Arabidopsis thaliana: one gene and its partners. The protein of the gene in region 3 interacts with the protein of the main gene of each other region in a pairwise test. Each region holds a gene or a part of one and is shown on either strand. Other genes may lie near its edges. The genes, in order: MYB112, bZIP52, MBD11 and NAC012.

Region 1 (4,741 bases), on a different chromosome or scaffold from region 3:
ATATTTGAGACGACGAAATTTTACTTGCATATTTTTAAGAGTTGATACCATCTTTAAGTGCTCTAAGCAATATGTCTCATTGTCTCGAGCATGCAAGATTTCATGAACACTTCAACTCTGAGTTTAGATGAGAGGGCCAAATCCAAATTAATAATTTATTTAGAGTAAAATAATTATTTGATGTTCACTTCATATACACATCATGCATCAATCTCTATTTCAACCCATTAGTTAAATAAGTATGTAATGAATTTCTTTGGGATATGTTATCAAATACTCATAATGTTTTTAATAATGCGGTGATATTATAAAACTTAATTGATGATCATATATGGTAGATTATAAGTGATCGTATGGGAGTTATTAAATGAACCAGGAACCACATAAACTTTTTGCTAAACTCATGTTGTTGTTTTTCTCTTCTTTGCTCTTATAGTCTTATCTAAATCATGCTTCTGTGTAACAATATATATGTTTTTGATATTATTAATTAAGCAGTTTTTTTTTTGTTTTGTAAAATCATACATCACAATAAAATTAAACCAATAAAAAAATGGAAAAAAACCCGGAAAACCTTTAATTTTGTTTTGAATGATTAGTTTATGTTTATTATACATTACATTCATTAATAAACCCATGAAATGCCTACTGTATGAGCCACTTGTTGAGCTCGTCAAAACTACACAAAGTTTCAAACGTATCTCCGCCGTTGAACCAATAACCACCATTTGTCATATGATCCAACGTTCCAAATTCCACCTGATCACCACCGTAGAAACTCGATCTCACAGCCTCAGACGACGACGTTGATGACGTGGCGGTGGCGACGCTGGAGTTCTCAGGCGAGTAGTGGTTAGAGGTAAATTGGACACTTTGAGTGGCGGCGATTCTCTCGATGAGACGAGGCATCCAGAGATGTTTGATGGTGTCTTTGAATTGCTTGCTGTTCACGTCACATTTTAGAAGTTTTGCATGCTTTTGAACACGTGTTCTCCAATAATTCTTTATCTCGTTATCTGTTCTTCCCGGTAAATGTTGAGCAATCTTTGACCACCTTCACAATAGAAAAAATATCAAAACTAACTCCATTATTAAAAACACGATTAATTTTATAGAACATCGTAATTAAACTCTCATTCCGTTTTTTATTAGAATCATTTATACATACAAAAAATATATTAAATTTCTAATATACTTTTTGTACGTATATTAATTGTTTTTGTTAAAACCGACTCTTGCTAAAAATATTATTTATAATGAATCGGAGGGTTTAATTATTTATAAGTTCTATTGTAGTACTAGATTAATCAGTTTTTTTAGTGTTACTCTGATAAAAAAAGACGTTGATGTGTACCTTAATTTCAACTATGATACAAGTTTCATATAGTAACCACAATTCAACCAAGAAATTTCAAATACGCATCAAATTGATTTTGTCAATTATCTACTAATACAATATTGAATAACGAGTTATTTATTTCATAGAGACGTTCCAAATTTGCTCTCTTCAACGATATGTGTCCCTTTTTCTATTTTAAGTAATGTATCGACAATATGACTATGTCTATGTCGATATAAATAAAGGTTTCATACCGATTTCCCCAACGAGAATGGAGTTCAAGGATGATAAATTGTTCTTGAAGGGATATGTCTCCACGGCGGATATCCGGCCGGAGATAATTTAGCCACCGCAATCTGCAACTTTTCCCCGTTCTATTCAGTCCTGTCTCAATAGTAAATGATTTCAATATAAATACAATTAGTATAAAAACATGAATTAACTGGAATGTACACTAGTCAATAGTATATGGACACTAGTACAATTTCCCAAATCAATAAAGATAACAATTCCATGAGGCTGTATGGAATTGGATGGTTGGGAAAGGTGTTTGAGTTCCACACTCAAAAGGCTAATATGAAAAGAACTCCAAAGGAAAAAATAAATAAATTTGGACCGACCAAACTGTTTCATACGAAAGTACACTTTTAATGATAATAATGAACTATGAATATGTCAACTTGTTCTTTCTTACTTTACCAATTCTACAGAGGAATTTAAATTATGCCGACATGGAGAAGTCACAGCCATAAGAAAAGTATTCTCATAGTTACGAAAAATCACATTCATATATGTATATCACTCACATATGATGTGATAGAAATTGAATAACATATTGATAAGATGTGGACGAGTTTTTATATCTACTCCATTTAATTTCAGTTAGTTATAAATAAACTCTAAACTAAACTTCACATGATCATATTAAAATCCACAAAATCCAAAACGAATTTCTAATAAGAAAAAAAAAAGTTTCAGTCTAAATGTTTAAAAAACAAAAACGGACTACTTGTTTGACATATAAAGAATCCTTCAATACCAAACTTTAACCATTCAAATCAATGATAGTTTAACAATCACTCTAGAGATATGATATGGGCATATAAGGATTTGTTATGATGACTTCAATTGATCTGAATCGATCGATTTACGCATTACATATTATATATCATGCATGATCACATATTCTGTATATATATATGCAAAAGGCTTAAGAAGTTACCAGCAGAACGAGAGAGGGAGTTCCATCTTCCTTCACCGTGAAGAGAAATGTAACTGACGAGCTTCATGTCTTCTTCCACAGTCCATGGACCTCTCCTTATTTCTATTTCCATCTTTTTCTCGACTTCTTCGACTTCTTCTTTATGATTTATAAGGGTTTTACAGTTTGCGAATTCTGTTCTACTTATATTCATGCTTTGAGATTCTTAGAAACTTGTGAGAAGATTGCTCTGAGAAAGATTTTAATTAATGAGGGAGAGAGTTCTCGGAATGGACATAAAGTGATCGAGTTTTCAGGGTGGGTTTTATAGATTTTTTTTTGTTTTGTTTTGTATATATTATAAATAAATACCAAGCATTTGAAATCGGCATGTTAATAGATAAATTATTACCCGAAGATATTAGTGGAATTTTCGCAAAATAATAATTTCTAAGTAATAGTATAAGAGTTCTTAGTTTCTCCTTAAGCACATGCTATAGTTAAGAGTTGGATAAGCTATCAAGTAAGTAAAAGTAACCGAAGAAGTAATTTAAATTAACATCATTTATTTATCGATATAATTTAGTTGATGCAACAAACCCTTTTTTCTGTAGTATATAATTTTGTTTAGTTTTGATTCAGGTTTCCTTTTATTAAACCAAACTAGAATTTAACCCTCAATATAACACGGGACAATTTTGTTTTCACATAATCTTAACTAAATTAGTGTAATTCTACATATTTAATATTAGTGATGTTAATCAAATAATAAAATGAGAATTTCACCGTATTATAATGTCGGTTAATGATACTTTTAATTTTTTTAATGTCGATTTAAACTCATTTTTCATATACCCAGTCTCAAAATATAACATGTACTGCGTTATTTTAGACTTTTATATATATTCATTTTATTTTAAACTTTATACTGAGTTTAAATATATCAATTATAATATTTCAAAACTTTCAAAGCTTAAAATTTACTATATCCAGTAAAATTAAACAGTTCAATTAAAAACAGAATTAAACCATATACAAACTTTTAAATTTAGATACTTGTTAAGTTAAACTTCTTGTTTATTTAGATTTAGATTTATTTATAACATGACTCTTAATCATTTTCTAAACATTTTAGCCCATGTGAAATTGAGACGTTGAACACACTTTTTTATTATTTAAGTAATATATATGTCTAATTCTAAAATTTTGAATCAGAATATAGGTAGAAAATAGTTTATTATTAACTTTATATGATGATTCAAAACAAATAGAAAACAAAATCAAACAAAGATGATTGCGAATCATTATTTTAATTCTTAACACAATCTTTTAATATGTATTACTAATTTTGGAACATTATATGTATATTTCAAATTTTATAGTTAATGTTAAAAACAATCAATTGATTTGGTTATACGGATAATAAAAATTAATAGTAAAGTTATTTGAATACATGAATATAAGTAATGACATTCTCTGTTAATATTTATCAAAATAAAGGTGTTTTTTAAAGTATACTTCAAAAATAATACTCCCCCTATTCTTTATTAATTGATTTTTAGAGAAACAAAATTGTTTCAAAAAGATTGATTTTTTAGGTTTCTATGCACTATTTATTAGTTATTATTGATGAATTTTAAACTTCAAGACAAATAATTGAATATCATTAGTTTAGAATTATTAAAAAATTAAATCACAAAAATTAAATCAATATGTTTACTTAATCTGTGATTGTTTCTAGAAAATCAATAAAAAGGGACAAAAGGAGTAATTTTTAGTCATGATTTCAATTTGATGCAATTTTGGTTTAATTTATTTTGACTTACGGTTTAGATTCGGTTTGGTTTTGATAAAAAAAGTTAGAACATATATAAATACAGATTGATGAAAGAAACTAGTTAAATTTTTTGAAGTTACTAACTTTTTTGGGTTTTCTTTAGTTTCGGAACTCTTGGTTACTTTTTTTTAATGGTTTTAGCTATAAATTTTAGTTTTTTTAATTAGAAATAGAAAAGGATTACAAAACAAAAAAAAGACTCAAGAGAATGTAACAATATAAAAATGCTTTGATAGCATGAAAGCAAGATGCAGCGAACCTCAAAACTCTAAATCGAGTAAAGCTTAACCTAACCCATGTCTCTAACCATAAACTCATTAAAGCCGAATCAGAGTTCTACAAAATGTAAAATCTCGATGAAACT
Region 2 (3,942 bases), on a different chromosome or scaffold from region 3:
TCCACAGTCCAGAGAGTAGATGTTTCGTCTGATAACATGGTAACAATGTTCTAAACTCTCCACGTTCTTATTGTTATGCATGTTCTATTGTTCTTGCTAGCTCAGTTTGGAAAGGTTGGAACTTTTGTTGGTTCTCTCCAACAATGGGTCTTTGCTTAAAGGTTGAATCGTGTTAGATGTCTTTCAAAGGTCGAATATTTTCGTTAACAGTCTTACAGAGTCTCAAAAACTAATCTCTCAATGCTTCGTCTCTCATTTCAACTCCGACTCCAAGTTTGGGAAATTTTGTCTCATGGAGAAGTCCGGTTGGGAGAAGTTGTCTCAAAACTCTAATGGGATGACGGATGTGAGGGTGTCTTGGAGAAGAAGCTACTGAGGAACTGCCTTGGTGTTGTCGTATCAAAATCATTGATCCCAAAATCAAACTATTAACCCAATTGGAATGAACTTATTAAACATCTCCATCTCCTAGTAAAATAAAACAAAACGTAGCAAACATCATTGTATACAAAAGAAAAATGAAATTTATTAGTCTCCTTTGTTCCTTGAAGAACAAACAATGGGAATAGCAAACAACGAAACTCACGACACATAACCAACACAAATGTATACGTACGTCCTTTCTTGCACAATGGCACCTCAAAAAAAAGAAAGAATAAATAATCAAAAGTGAATCAAATGAATTGAAAAAAAAAAAAACCTATTAACAGAAAAATGAGCCTCATCATAATCTTGTCGTCAATAGGCAGAGCTACTCTCACTAGCAGAGAGAGAAGGTCCTTCAGATTTGACTAAGCTTGAGCTATTGCTACTAATCTCCAGCCCTTGCATTCGGCCGTTCTGTAGAAAGTCCGACACGCTTTGAGAATTGGACATCTCCATAGGATTGAAACTAGAATGCATCTGCATATCATGGAGGTTCATTGAGCCATGATATGGTGGAATAGCCATGAAAGTTGAGGAAGAATACTGAATCTGCTGCATTCCCATATCAAACGAATCTGAATTACCAGAGATTTCTCCTGTCTCCATCTTCATCCTTTCAACTTCTTTCCTCAACGCTTCGTTTAAAGCTGTAACATCAAAAAGCAAATATTGAAGAAATGCACCAAAATGCATACAAAGAAATTAGCTTCTTTTTTTTTTGTGCTTACCATTACGAAGCTGAGCTTGTTGTTCCATTGCTTGCAACCTAAGTTTCAGCTCTGTGTTTTCGTTTGCTAGTCCATTTGTGTCTCTCTGGATCAATCAAAACAACATTGAAATCAAGATCTGTCTATGTATGTAAAACAGAGGAAAGAACTTTCCTATTCTGTTGGGATCAAACGAGGAATCGCCGAATATGGAAACCTGGTAGAGAGTAAGCTGAGCAGAGAGAGTGGTAGCTTCGGTTTGAAGAGATTGAACTTTGCGCTCAAGTTCTTGAATGTATCGAGCTTTTCTCTCTTTGGATCGAGCTGCAGATTGTCGATTCGCTAGAATCCTGTAATCAAATCCCTAATTTCATTGCAATTCTTCAATTCTGTGGAAAGAGAAACAAATTTGAAGAAGAAGAAGAAGGACCTTTTGGCGCGTTTGGGATCGATGTTCCAAAGCTCAGAGAGTTTTTCAGGAGGCATAGCTTTCTTAGCGTCCATGATATCACCGGCATACATGGCGCATCCAGCGTCAACGGAATTGCTGTGACGGTGGCGAGGACGAGAGGAAGGAGGAGGAGGAGGATTAGCAGCGCCGGAAACGGAGTTGGAGGAGAGGGAAGGATTTTGAAAGGGATTGGGATTAGAGGTGAGGCTATCGACATCGATGAAAGAAGAGAAGAGATCGTCGTCGGAGGGAAGGTCGTCGGAGGAAGGTGGTGCGGCGGAGGAGAGGGGATCCATGAACATGAACATGGACATATCGTCGGAGCGAGATCGGCGGTGGAAGGAAGAAGATGGAATCGGATCGGCATTAGGAATTGGATCGGAGGAGGGGATAATAGTGGCGCCGGGCTTTGGGACTGGTGGAGGATCTGATTTCTCCATTTTTTTAAGAGAATCTGAGAGATGAATGCTTTGGTTGTGTGAATAATTATGATTATTATTCGCAATTGAGAACAATGTCAATGGAGATAATGATGGAGATGAAGAAGACGAAGCTCTTTCTCTCTCTCTCTCTCTCTCTCTCTCTCTATCAAATGAAATGAAATGAAGAGCGTAGGAGAGAAACTCGACTCTGTGAGGAGAGAGAAGTGACGTCACTAACTATAAAATTGCGAAATTGAGTTGATTTATTAATAATTAAAAAGAAAACTAGTTGATGAAAAGTAAAAGGCACATTGGCACGTGAACCATCGCAGCATCTTGTCTCCCTCCCTTTTTTTTTTATTTTTTTTTCCTTTTTCTTTGTATTTTATTTAATTATTCGATTTCATGATTTAAATTTGTTTAACTTTAAATCTTCTTTGTAGCATTCATTACAAGATTCTGTAGTTGCTTCAACGAAATTTATTAATTTAAGCTGTTATGGCATTACATCTCCCCACGTCTGAGTGTATATTTTTGTATCTTTGAGTCAAAATTTTAACAAGTAAAAAATAGGCAGAAAGCCTTGTATGAACTGAGAGTCTGAGAGAATGTTTTGTGGGATAATAAGTTGGTAACTTGGTATGGAACTATCTATGGATTGGGAAACAAGTAAAATTCACTTATAGTGAAAAATACTTATTGGTTGGATCTAAATCATACGGAGGCCTTAATTATCAGGCCCATACAAGAAGACAAGTATTGTTTTGTTTTAAGAAATCCTCGAGCATATAATGCGCCTGTAGTGGACAGGAGGATGTTTTGGGCCTTCTCTTAAATTGGCAATTGGGCATCACTTTGTTTACCGGTCAAAATAATTAAAAAGATGGTCGTATTGATCGCTTTAAGTAATAAGTTTTTTAGTTAAGTCTCTCTAAATTGTCTTAAACGCAAGTAGTGGACCGGCATCATTTAATAGTGATTCAAATTAAAAACCTAATGATGCTTACTTTTACCAGCTAAAGTTTCTTTTGTCTTTTTTTTTTTTGTTTTATTATTATTTATCAACATACTTGTGAATTGTGATTCTCCCTTTTTTTATATATAAATAATGAACATACTTAAGATATAGTTTCTCCCATTTATTGTCACCTAACGGGTATTTTTTAAAACCAAATTCTGTTGGAAAGTTCTTCTCTAAACATAAATAATATATAGCTCATGTCTATGCTTTTTAATAGTGCCCATTGTATTTCTTTTCTTATTTGAGTAATTTATTCCAGCTGTTTCTTTTTTTTCCCTCTCGTAATGATACGACATAGTGACATACATCTTCTGTTTCTTCTTTTTTTGTTCAAGAAAATCATAATGACTACAGGTAATTAATCACACTTCTACAAATCAGTTGATAATCAGCACCATTTTCCAATAAAAGTCGATACTTTGGAAAATTTCGTGACTTTTAGTATCGTGGGGGCCAAAATGCACATAAAGATACGATATCGATGACCAAATTGCCATATACTATATGATTCCAATATACCAATGATTGCTACTATTTGCTAATGGTATACGTTTTTAAATTTTAATTAATACATAAAAAAAAAATCAAGGTGGGATAAAAAGGTAACTTTATTGACAATATTTGGAAATTCATCGCACCTGGCAAGAGATTTACCTACTGTCATTAAAAAAGGATTAAAAAAACGACAAAAAGGTCAAAGACAGGTCAGACAAGGAATCATTAAACAAAGGAAGAAAAATAGCAAGTAGAATGGTTTTGACGGAAGAAGGTGGTGAAGTTATGGCGGCGGCGCAACGGAAACTTATGATGACGCTCTTCCGTCGGTCTCATCCATTACCTGAAATAGTCAAACTTAGAAAATGTCGTATTATCACTCTTCAATGCTCCCACCCAATACCAACTACTTTCCTCTTT
Region 3 (4,123 bases):
CATTCTCATCCAAATTTTGTTTGTTATTGAAAGTTTTATCATTGCAGGAAATGGTGCAGTTTCTTGTTGAAGTTTGGGAAGAAGAAGGTCTATACGGCTAAAAGATTCTTTTTTACACATTTACAATTGTAAAGAGAGCTGAGAAAAATATATACACCCAACAAAAAATATTTGTTGATGGATCAAATTTTATAAAATTCTCTTGATTTGGAGTAATTTCCACAAAAATGTTTTTTTTTTAAATTGTCGTACACGTGTATGTCTGAATCAGAAACCCCTTAAATAAAAATGAGTTCTTAATTTTATCGTCGAGGAAAAATGGCGATGGCTTTGTCCAACCCGACCACAAGCACTAACCTCTACCACTACTCAATTCTCTCGCCGTTCTCACCGCCGTATCACCTTCACCGTCGAAACACCGTCCTACTAGCGAGTCCCCGCCGTTTACGCCGCCTCGCCGTCGCTGGTGGTCCTCCTTCTCCTCCAGGCCCTGATCCGCCTCCGCCTGAGGACACCACTCAGCTAGAAGGTTCGATTCTTCTTGCCCAGATTGATATTTTGGTCCTTTGAATCCTACTTTGTTTGGTTGGTCTTTGTTGTACTTGCTTTTCAGTTTTCACTTTAACTGTTGTGTTTTGGGTCGAAAGTTTCAATTTTTATCCGATAGTTTGATATAAGTATGGAGTCTTTTAGGTTAGTACTTGGTATTGAATCGTGCTGAGATTGTTATTGTATCATGAAACTTCCAAAACATGAGGATGATTTCATCCAATTAGTTGTTGTGTCCATGGAACCAAAGTTCAAATCTTGTGACATGATTTTGGCTTAGGCAATTAGGATTGTGGAATTTACTCCTTATGATTCAAAATGGCTACCATTTTATGTGGGGATTTTCTAAATTTTCTCTTAAGATGTAAAATTGTGCAGTAGTTGTATGTTCATTGGTTCTGCAATTAGTCCATATGTTATGTTGAATAGCTTGGGTGATGATTCCTTTATAACATAGAAGGATAGGCTGGAAATAGAAAAAACTGCACTCATGACTGATACTAAGTGAAATGAATACTCTTGTTTTCTTTTTCTCTTTGTAAAGGTCTTGTGGGAGCTGTGACAAGGGTTCAAGACCGCGTAAAGATTTTCCTCGCAGTGTTCTTTTGGATGTTTCTCTTCTTCTGGGTTACAGTCACAGATGGGACGGGTAAAGGCAAAGGCAAGAAGGGTTCACGTTTCAAGTAGTTTCCATATATGAAGAGGCTTTGGTGATTATCTACTACTCTATACTGTATATATATCAAGACTTCAAAGAGATCAAATTACCTGTATAAACTTCACCAAGTAAGCATCTTCCTTGTACATCACTTATTCAGATGATAATAGGAAACAATAAGATCGTGTTATCTTCTTGGTTAATGCTAGTGATATATAGTACTCAATTCCTGATTCTTTCCCAGTCTCCATCTGATCATGCTTAAAAAACGGCGTCGTTGAGCAATAGGACTCAAGACATGAATGGGCCTAATTTATGGGCTTTAAAGAGTTTAAACCACAGTAACGTTCTGTTTTACCGGACTCCAAAGCAATACTCCATTAGAGTTTTTTTCCCCCAAAATGGAGAAAAGTCGTTAACTATTTGGCACGTGTATTGCATGAGCACCAAGTAAGTCTAAATCTGCATTAAATGCGAACATCCGAGTCGACTTAACACCTTTTGATCAAGGCTTTAACGTGTCGTTGTTACCATAGAATATAGATGATAGAGCGCATTTTATATCACTGGATATAGACACGTGGTTAAACTTAATTGGGTTGTTAGTTAAGTTGTTGTGCTACCTCCAAGTGACTTTATCATATACTCTGTGTGTTTCTGGTAGTAAAAAAAGGTCTAAAACCATAGTGTTAAGCAAAAGAGAAAAAGAAGAGCAGAGCAAAATCCCTAAAATTTTAAACTCTGTTTTGCTTTCCGACAATCAAACCCTAGGTTGTCTGTTGCTTCATTCGTGTAAATTGTTAAATTTTTTGTTTTTGTTTTCTTGGCATTTTGTGGTTGATCTTTCTAATTTGTTTTCAGGGGTTGCTAAAGGGAAAGGAGAGAGATGGGTGGTGAAGAGGAAGTTGTTTCTGTTGAGCTACCAGCACCTTCTTCATGGAAGAAATTGGTTTGTTTTCTTTGTTTCATACAAAGACTTAGAATTTGTTGTATATGTGTAGTGCTGCAATTACCAAATCTTTTTCTTTGAAGACTCTGAATATGGTAGCTTTTGGTGGCGAAATGTTAGTATAAGTGTAAATAACTTTATGTTGATTAGGTGATTCAAAGGTTATAGACTTAGAAAAAGCCACATTTGATTGTGTTTGATCTACTATTTCTACTTCTTTGTTCTTGACTTAATGCCTCATTTTGACTATGTTTGATTTACTTCTTACTTTTCCCGATTCTTATGGATTTTAAGCCACTTGTAAACATTGTTTAAGCTACATTAAGGTCTTCTTTAGAATTTAATCTTTCAGCGTTTTGAACCTCAAATTTTCATATTTTCAGAGGTTTACATTAACTGACTTGTTTTTGCAGTTTTACCCCAACAAAGTGGGTTCAGTGAAGAAAACAGAGGTTGTGTTTGTGGCTCCAACGGGTGAGGAGATTAGTAACAGAAAGCAGCTGGAGCAGTATCTCAAATCGCACCCTGGAAACCCCGCGATCGCAGAGTTTGATTGGACGACTAGTGGGACACCTAGGAGATCTGCAAGAATCAGTGAGAAGACTAAGGCTACGCCGTCACCAGATAAAGAGCCACCCAAGAAGCGAGGTAGAACCAAATCTCCAGTGTCAAAGAAAGATGCAGAAGGTGAGAAATCAGAGGGAGGAGGAGAGGAAAACTCTCATGTGAAAGATACTGAAATGAATCCTCCAGAGGGAATCGCCGAGAATGAAAATGTGACCGATAAGAATGGCTCCGGTGAAACTGAGAGGGTGAATGATGCAAAAGAAAACATTGTTGCTGAGGAAACTCCAAATGCGGCTCCAGTTCAAGAAGAGGGTGAGTCGATGAAGGAGAAAGCTCTGGATTCTGTTGATGATAAGAGTAAGGAGACTGACAAAGAAAAAGATACTGGCTCAATCGAAAAGAACTCGGTAGATGTAGAGAAGAAGACCGTTGAAGCTAGTGATGAGAAGAAGAATTCTGAAGCTGAGACCAGAAACCATGAAGAAAATGGTCTGACCACAGAAGCTGAGGGGAAAGAGAAAACAGCAGAAGGAGAAGCTACCGGATAGCCCTGTTCTGCTCTGCTTCTGTTAGCTCATGAAACTGTAAGTCAGTTGTTTCTATCAATCTATTGAAGTATATGGTTTCCTTTTTGCTTCCTACTCGGAGCATTATCGCGGTGAAAGGTGTTGTTAGGCTGAGATATGTATTATGAGATATGTGCAAGTTCTGTTTGGTTGTAAGGTTATGTAGAGGATATATTATTGACTCTTCTCTAAAACCATTGCAATCACTAGGTTTGATGTTTTATCTTTCTGCTACAATCTTTAGTCATTTTCGTATGGATGGACAATCAAGTTATGAACAAGTCAGATTAAAGATCCACACATAGATTAATCTTCTAGATTTCTTTTTATCATTGGTTCAATCTTCATTTGAACGCCATAAAATGGGAAACCCAAATAAAAAAATGGAAGAAAGCAGAAGAAGACAAGAGGAAAAAGGTAAAAGTTTTGCTTTGAGAGTAAAGTAAGAATCTAATGCAAAGAAAGACTTACAATGTTAGTTTTCTTATTTCCTTGATTCCATCCTTTTGCATGGTCCCAGGGACGAGGGTTTAGAATCTTTCTATTAAGGAACAACTTCATAGTATAAACTCTTATTGTTCCCATTTTAGGATTAAAAAAAAAACTTGCTCTGTTTTCAAAAACATCATTCGAGACAGTATCTCAAATGGGTTATTGTGTTCCTCTTCGAAAGTCTCCAACTTCACATATGGTTTTCTCTTCTTTCTTCCTTTCGTTTCTCTTAGTCTTCTCTATACTCTCTTCACAAACGGCCGTAGCATTCATCGGAACATATGGTGTAAACTACGGTCGCATAGCGGATAATCTTCCGTCTCCTGACGCGGTAGCAACTCT
Region 4 (4,184 bases), on a different chromosome or scaffold from region 3:
TTAACATGTTAGATAAATTAAATATTCTTGTTTCAATATATATCAACTTTAGTGTAAAAGCCTTAACATTCTCTTGAATATTTAATTTATTTCTCCTTATTTCGATTTAATGACAAATGTGAATTAATTTTTGTGATATTTTTGTTCGAAATTAGTTTTCAGTTAATAACATACATGTGAGCATGGGACACACATGATTTAACAAAAGGGAATGACGAAATGATATATCAAAATATTAGTATGGGAACAAATTACGAGGTGAAACTTCACACTCAACTCAATTAAAACTAGAATAAAGAAATGGAAAAAGTGAAAGAATGAGAGGTCAAATGTGGTTAATCATTATGTGGTATTAGTTAATCCATCAATTGTGTACCCAAAAGCATGATTAAGCATAGAATTTAGAGAAACAAAACATCATTATTAATGTTGAAACACAAAGATCCCATCAACAGACAAATGATAAGTACAGTGCATGTAGGGTAACAACTTTTATGTACATGTTATATACTTATATTATATAATAAGAAAACGATTAAAGTGTCATTGCTCCAGCCTCTATTTGTAAATCATATTATATCAGTATGCTTAATTCCAATAATTAAGTCCATAACTAAAATATATACACATATATGTATGTTAAATGGTTGAATATATACATATATTTTCATAAACAAATATTGCTAATTAATTCAGTTATTTGTGTACATAATCCAACTATCACCTTTTTAGCTGGAAGTGGATATTCCAACATGTCAGTCTGTCACTCCCACATTCATACTCTCTATTCTTTTTAGCTATTTCAATATCTACGGTTAAATATTAATGGCTATATAGCCTTACCCTTCATTTTAGTTTTTTTTTGGTATTCGCATAACCATCGAATACTCAAACTTACTATGTAAGATGGTCTGAATAACTATTTCCGATTTAAGATGAATAGCTAGATTGAAATATACATGCACTAATTGGACATGCACTAAAGGCAGAGGTGAATTAAATGATGAAATGAAGATGAAGTGTCACACTTGTGCAAAAAGCATGTCCCCTGCTCTTCTCCGCTTGTTTCAATTTCTTTGACTTTCATCACGTTTTTGTCACTTAAATACACCAAAAAATATAGTACAATTAAACATCGAAAATCGTCCAAAAAGAAGAAAAAAAATCATGGAAAGTTCTTTCGTTAATGTTACACACATTATCTTGATTAGGTGACACCAGATATTAGAATAAAAATGATAGATTATGAAAAGAAAAAAAAAATTGATGTATTTTTAGGATACATCGAAAGGAATGAACATACCAAAAACATGGGAAAAAATAGATAACTAATTAACATGGTAGAATGTAGATGACGTAGATCATGAAACGAGTGTGTGATATATTAATGAAAATTATTTTAATATACGTAGCTATATTAGAAAATAATTTACATTTATTTTCTTCTAAACAAATCTATACTTTATATTTACATACATTAGTAAAGACCAAAACACATGGAATTCAAATTCTGCAATAAGTAATTGCAAGAAAACACAAAGATTAATCCCCCACTAAACCCGTTTATTTACGTTAGTATTTTTCCGTTTTATACATTACACATGACATGACATTACACGTCAAAAGAAATATGTCTTACGTCAGAACTTACGTATGATCAAACTCGATTTAAACATAGAAACATCTGTTTACTAAATTATACTAATTTCATAAAGACACTTTAATGCATGAACTTCTTTGTTTAAATAACAATTTCCCCCTTTTGGGGGCTATGTCTCGTCGAGTCCTACCACCATTATAAATTATCTCATCGTTTGCTTTCTTTTTTTTAAGTTGTAACCATTTCCACTCGTAATCATACAACTTCTCTACTCTTCTAGAGCAAAAACCCAAAAATATATTGCTATCTTCGTTAATGGCTGATAATAAGGTCAATCTTTCGATTAATGGACAATCAAAAGTGCCTCCAGGTTTCAGATTCCATCCCACCGAAGAAGAACTTCTCCATTACTATCTCCGTAAGAAAGTTAACTCTCAAAAGATCGATCTTGATGTCATTCGTGAAGTTGATCTAAACAAGCTTGAGCCTTGGGATATTCAAGGTTAAACCCTAAATATGAAAAAAAACTCTTTCATTTCTACGAACTCTCTATTTCTTTGTTCTTTATTTTTGAACCATTTTGGTATGCAAATGCAGAGGAATGTAGAATCGGTTCAACGCCACAAAACGACTGGTACTTCTTCAGCCACAAGGACAAGAAGTATCCAACCGGGACCAGGACGAACCGGGCAACAGTCGCTGGATTCTGGAAAGCTACCGGACGTGACAAAATCATCTGCAGTTGTGTCCGGAGAATTGGACTGAGGAAGACACTCGTGTTCTACAAAGGAAGAGCTCCTCACGGTCAGAAATCCGACTGGATCATGCATGAGTATCGCCTCGACGATACTCCAATGTCTAATGTAAGTATATATAGCAATCATCAATTTGCAGTTTAGGTTAGAATAAACAAATTACAAACTTATAGTCAAAGAATTAGCTAGATTCGTTTCATGCTATAAAAGGTTTTGGTTCATTTAGTACGCACTAGAGCCTTCTTTTAGCATCTGCAATTAAAGTAATCGAACATGATTCTCTGAGTTACAATAAGATAATTTCTTATGAAATTAACACATCATATATACATTTATATAAAAAGATTTTTTCACAAGGCTTAAAATAGTTTAACACGGCTCTACAAACAATACGTAGTTAACTAGTTATGGTTGCATATCCAAAAGAAAAACCAACATAAAAGATTTTTTTTTTTGTTTCAAAATAAAAGTTGCATTTTTACATCATCAAGATTTAATCATCTCTTATTGCATTTCATAAGATCGATTTGTGTTCCATTATCAGGGCTATGCTGATGTTGTTACAGAAGATCCAATGAGCTATAACGAAGAAGGTTGGGTGGTATGTCGAGTGTTCAGGAAGAAGAACTATCAAAAGATTGACGATTGTCCTAAAATCACTCTATCTTCTTTACCTGATGACACGGAGGAAGAGAAGGGGCCCACCTTTCACAACACTCAAAACGTTACCGGTTTAGACCATGTTCTTCTCTACATGGACCGTACCGGTTCTAACATTTGCATGCCCGAGAGCCAAACAACGACTCAACATCAAGATGATGTCTTATTCATGCAACTCCCAAGTCTTGAGACACCTAAATCCGAGAGCCCGGTCGACCAAAGTTTCCTGACTCCAAGCAAACTCGATTTCTCTCCCGTTCAAGAGAAGATAACCGAAAGACCGGTTTGCAGCAACTGGGCTAGTCTTGACCGGCTCGTAGCTTGGCAATTGAACAATGGTCATCATAATCCGTGTCATCGTAAGAGTTTTGATGAAGAAGAAGAAAATGGTGATACTATGATGCAGCGATGGGATCTTCATTGGAATAATGATGATAATGTTGATCTTTGGAGTAGTTTCACTGAGTCTTCTTCGTCTTTAGACCCACTTCTTCATTTATCTGTATGATTATCTATACATACACATACACAAAATATAAAATAAAGTTTGTTAAAAAATGTCTCATGTTCTATTGATAGTACGTCTTGATTTTGGGGTTTAACATTTGTTAATGGTGGAGGGTAATTTTTTTATAATATTTATAATCATAAAATTTACGAAGTTAAAGAATGATATTATATACAAAACTTGAATAACGACTCTTTCAATTGCTTACTAAGCTATTTTAGAAGTCATTACATTTAGTTCTTTATCTTTGACTATTAAAGCTAAAAGATGTCCAAAAAAAAAAAAAGCTAAATGGTAGAACTTTTCACATCCCTCATCTTTCATTCTACATTTCTTACATGCCCACTATTGAATTTGAATCCAAATTATGATACGAAGATTGCCATATTTGTACAACCACGAGAATATATGTTTATCGCTTAAATCTTTTGTATTTGCGAATCATAAAGCCCATAGGCCATAGTGAGAGTTAATATTCGGTAAATTTGTACTTTGGTTCAAACGCACATGGTGAATCCGTATTTTATAAAAAACTTTCTAAATTAATAATGAGTTAATGACAGAACTATGATGTATATGTTAATTTATAGTAATATTATTTTTTCTATAAATTTCAAATCTCAAATTTTTTAATTGTATTATCATTTAATATTTTATCTTA

What was found.
Region 1: the proteins of MBD11 (region 3) and MYB112 interact in a two-hybrid assay, tested with the Arabidopsis thaliana proteins (one large-scale study listed by BioGRID).
Region 2: the proteins of MBD11 (region 3) and bZIP52 interact in a two-hybrid assay, tested with the Arabidopsis thaliana proteins (one large-scale study listed by BioGRID).
Region 4: the proteins of MBD11 (region 3) and NAC012 interact in a two-hybrid assay, tested with the Arabidopsis thaliana proteins (one large-scale study listed by BioGRID).

Annotation. Positions count from the first base shown.
Region 1 is NC_003070.9:17,703,624-17,708,364, forward strand, and holds MYB112 (myb domain protein 112), read right to left. Parts: upstream 2,838-4,741; 5' UTR 2,755-2,837; coding exon 2,562-2,754; intron 1,724-2,561; coding exon 1,594-1,723; intron 1,055-1,593; coding exon 646-1,054; 3' UTR 509-645; downstream 1-508.
Region 2 is NC_003070.9:2,103,315-2,107,256, reverse strand, and holds bZIP52 (basic leucine-zipper 52), read right to left. Parts: upstream 2,210-3,942; 5' UTR 2,025-2,209; coding exon 1,564-2,024; intron 1,484-1,563; coding exon 1,351-1,483; coding exon of another isoform or gene 1,249-1,350; intron 1,240-1,248; coding exon 1,155-1,239; intron 1,074-1,154; coding exon 739-1,073; 3' UTR 508-738; downstream 1-507.
Region 3 is NC_003074.8:5,341,116-5,345,238, forward strand, and holds MBD11 (methyl-CPG-binding domain 11), read left to right. Parts: upstream 1-1,596; 5' UTR 1,597-1,657; intron 1,658-1,681; exon of another isoform or gene 1,682-2,068; 5' UTR 2,069-2,093; coding exon 2,094-2,156; intron 2,157-2,569; coding exon 2,570-3,271; 3' UTR 3,272-3,585; downstream 3,586-4,123. Other genes in the region: AT3G15770 (uncharacterized protein), read left to right, coding at 48-101; AT3G15780 (uncharacterized protein), read left to right, coding at 319-529, 1,094-1,236; AT3G15800 (Glycosyl hydrolase superfamily protein), read left to right, coding at 3,936-4,123. UniProt on the Arabidopsis thaliana protein: Transcriptional regulator that binds DNA independently of its methylation status. Required during plant organogenesis and development.
Region 4 is NC_003070.9:11,864,682-11,868,865, reverse strand, and holds NAC012 (NAC domain containing protein 12), read left to right. Parts: upstream 1-1,711; 5' UTR 1,712-1,915; coding exon 1,916-2,102; intron 2,103-2,197; coding exon 2,198-2,463; intron 2,464-2,899; coding exon 2,900-3,523; 3' UTR 3,524-3,637; downstream 3,638-4,184. UniProt on the Arabidopsis thaliana protein: Transcriptional activator of genes involved in biosynthesis of secondary walls. Together with NST1, required for the secondary cell wall thickening and lignification of sclerenchymatous fibers and secondary xylem vessels (tracheary elements).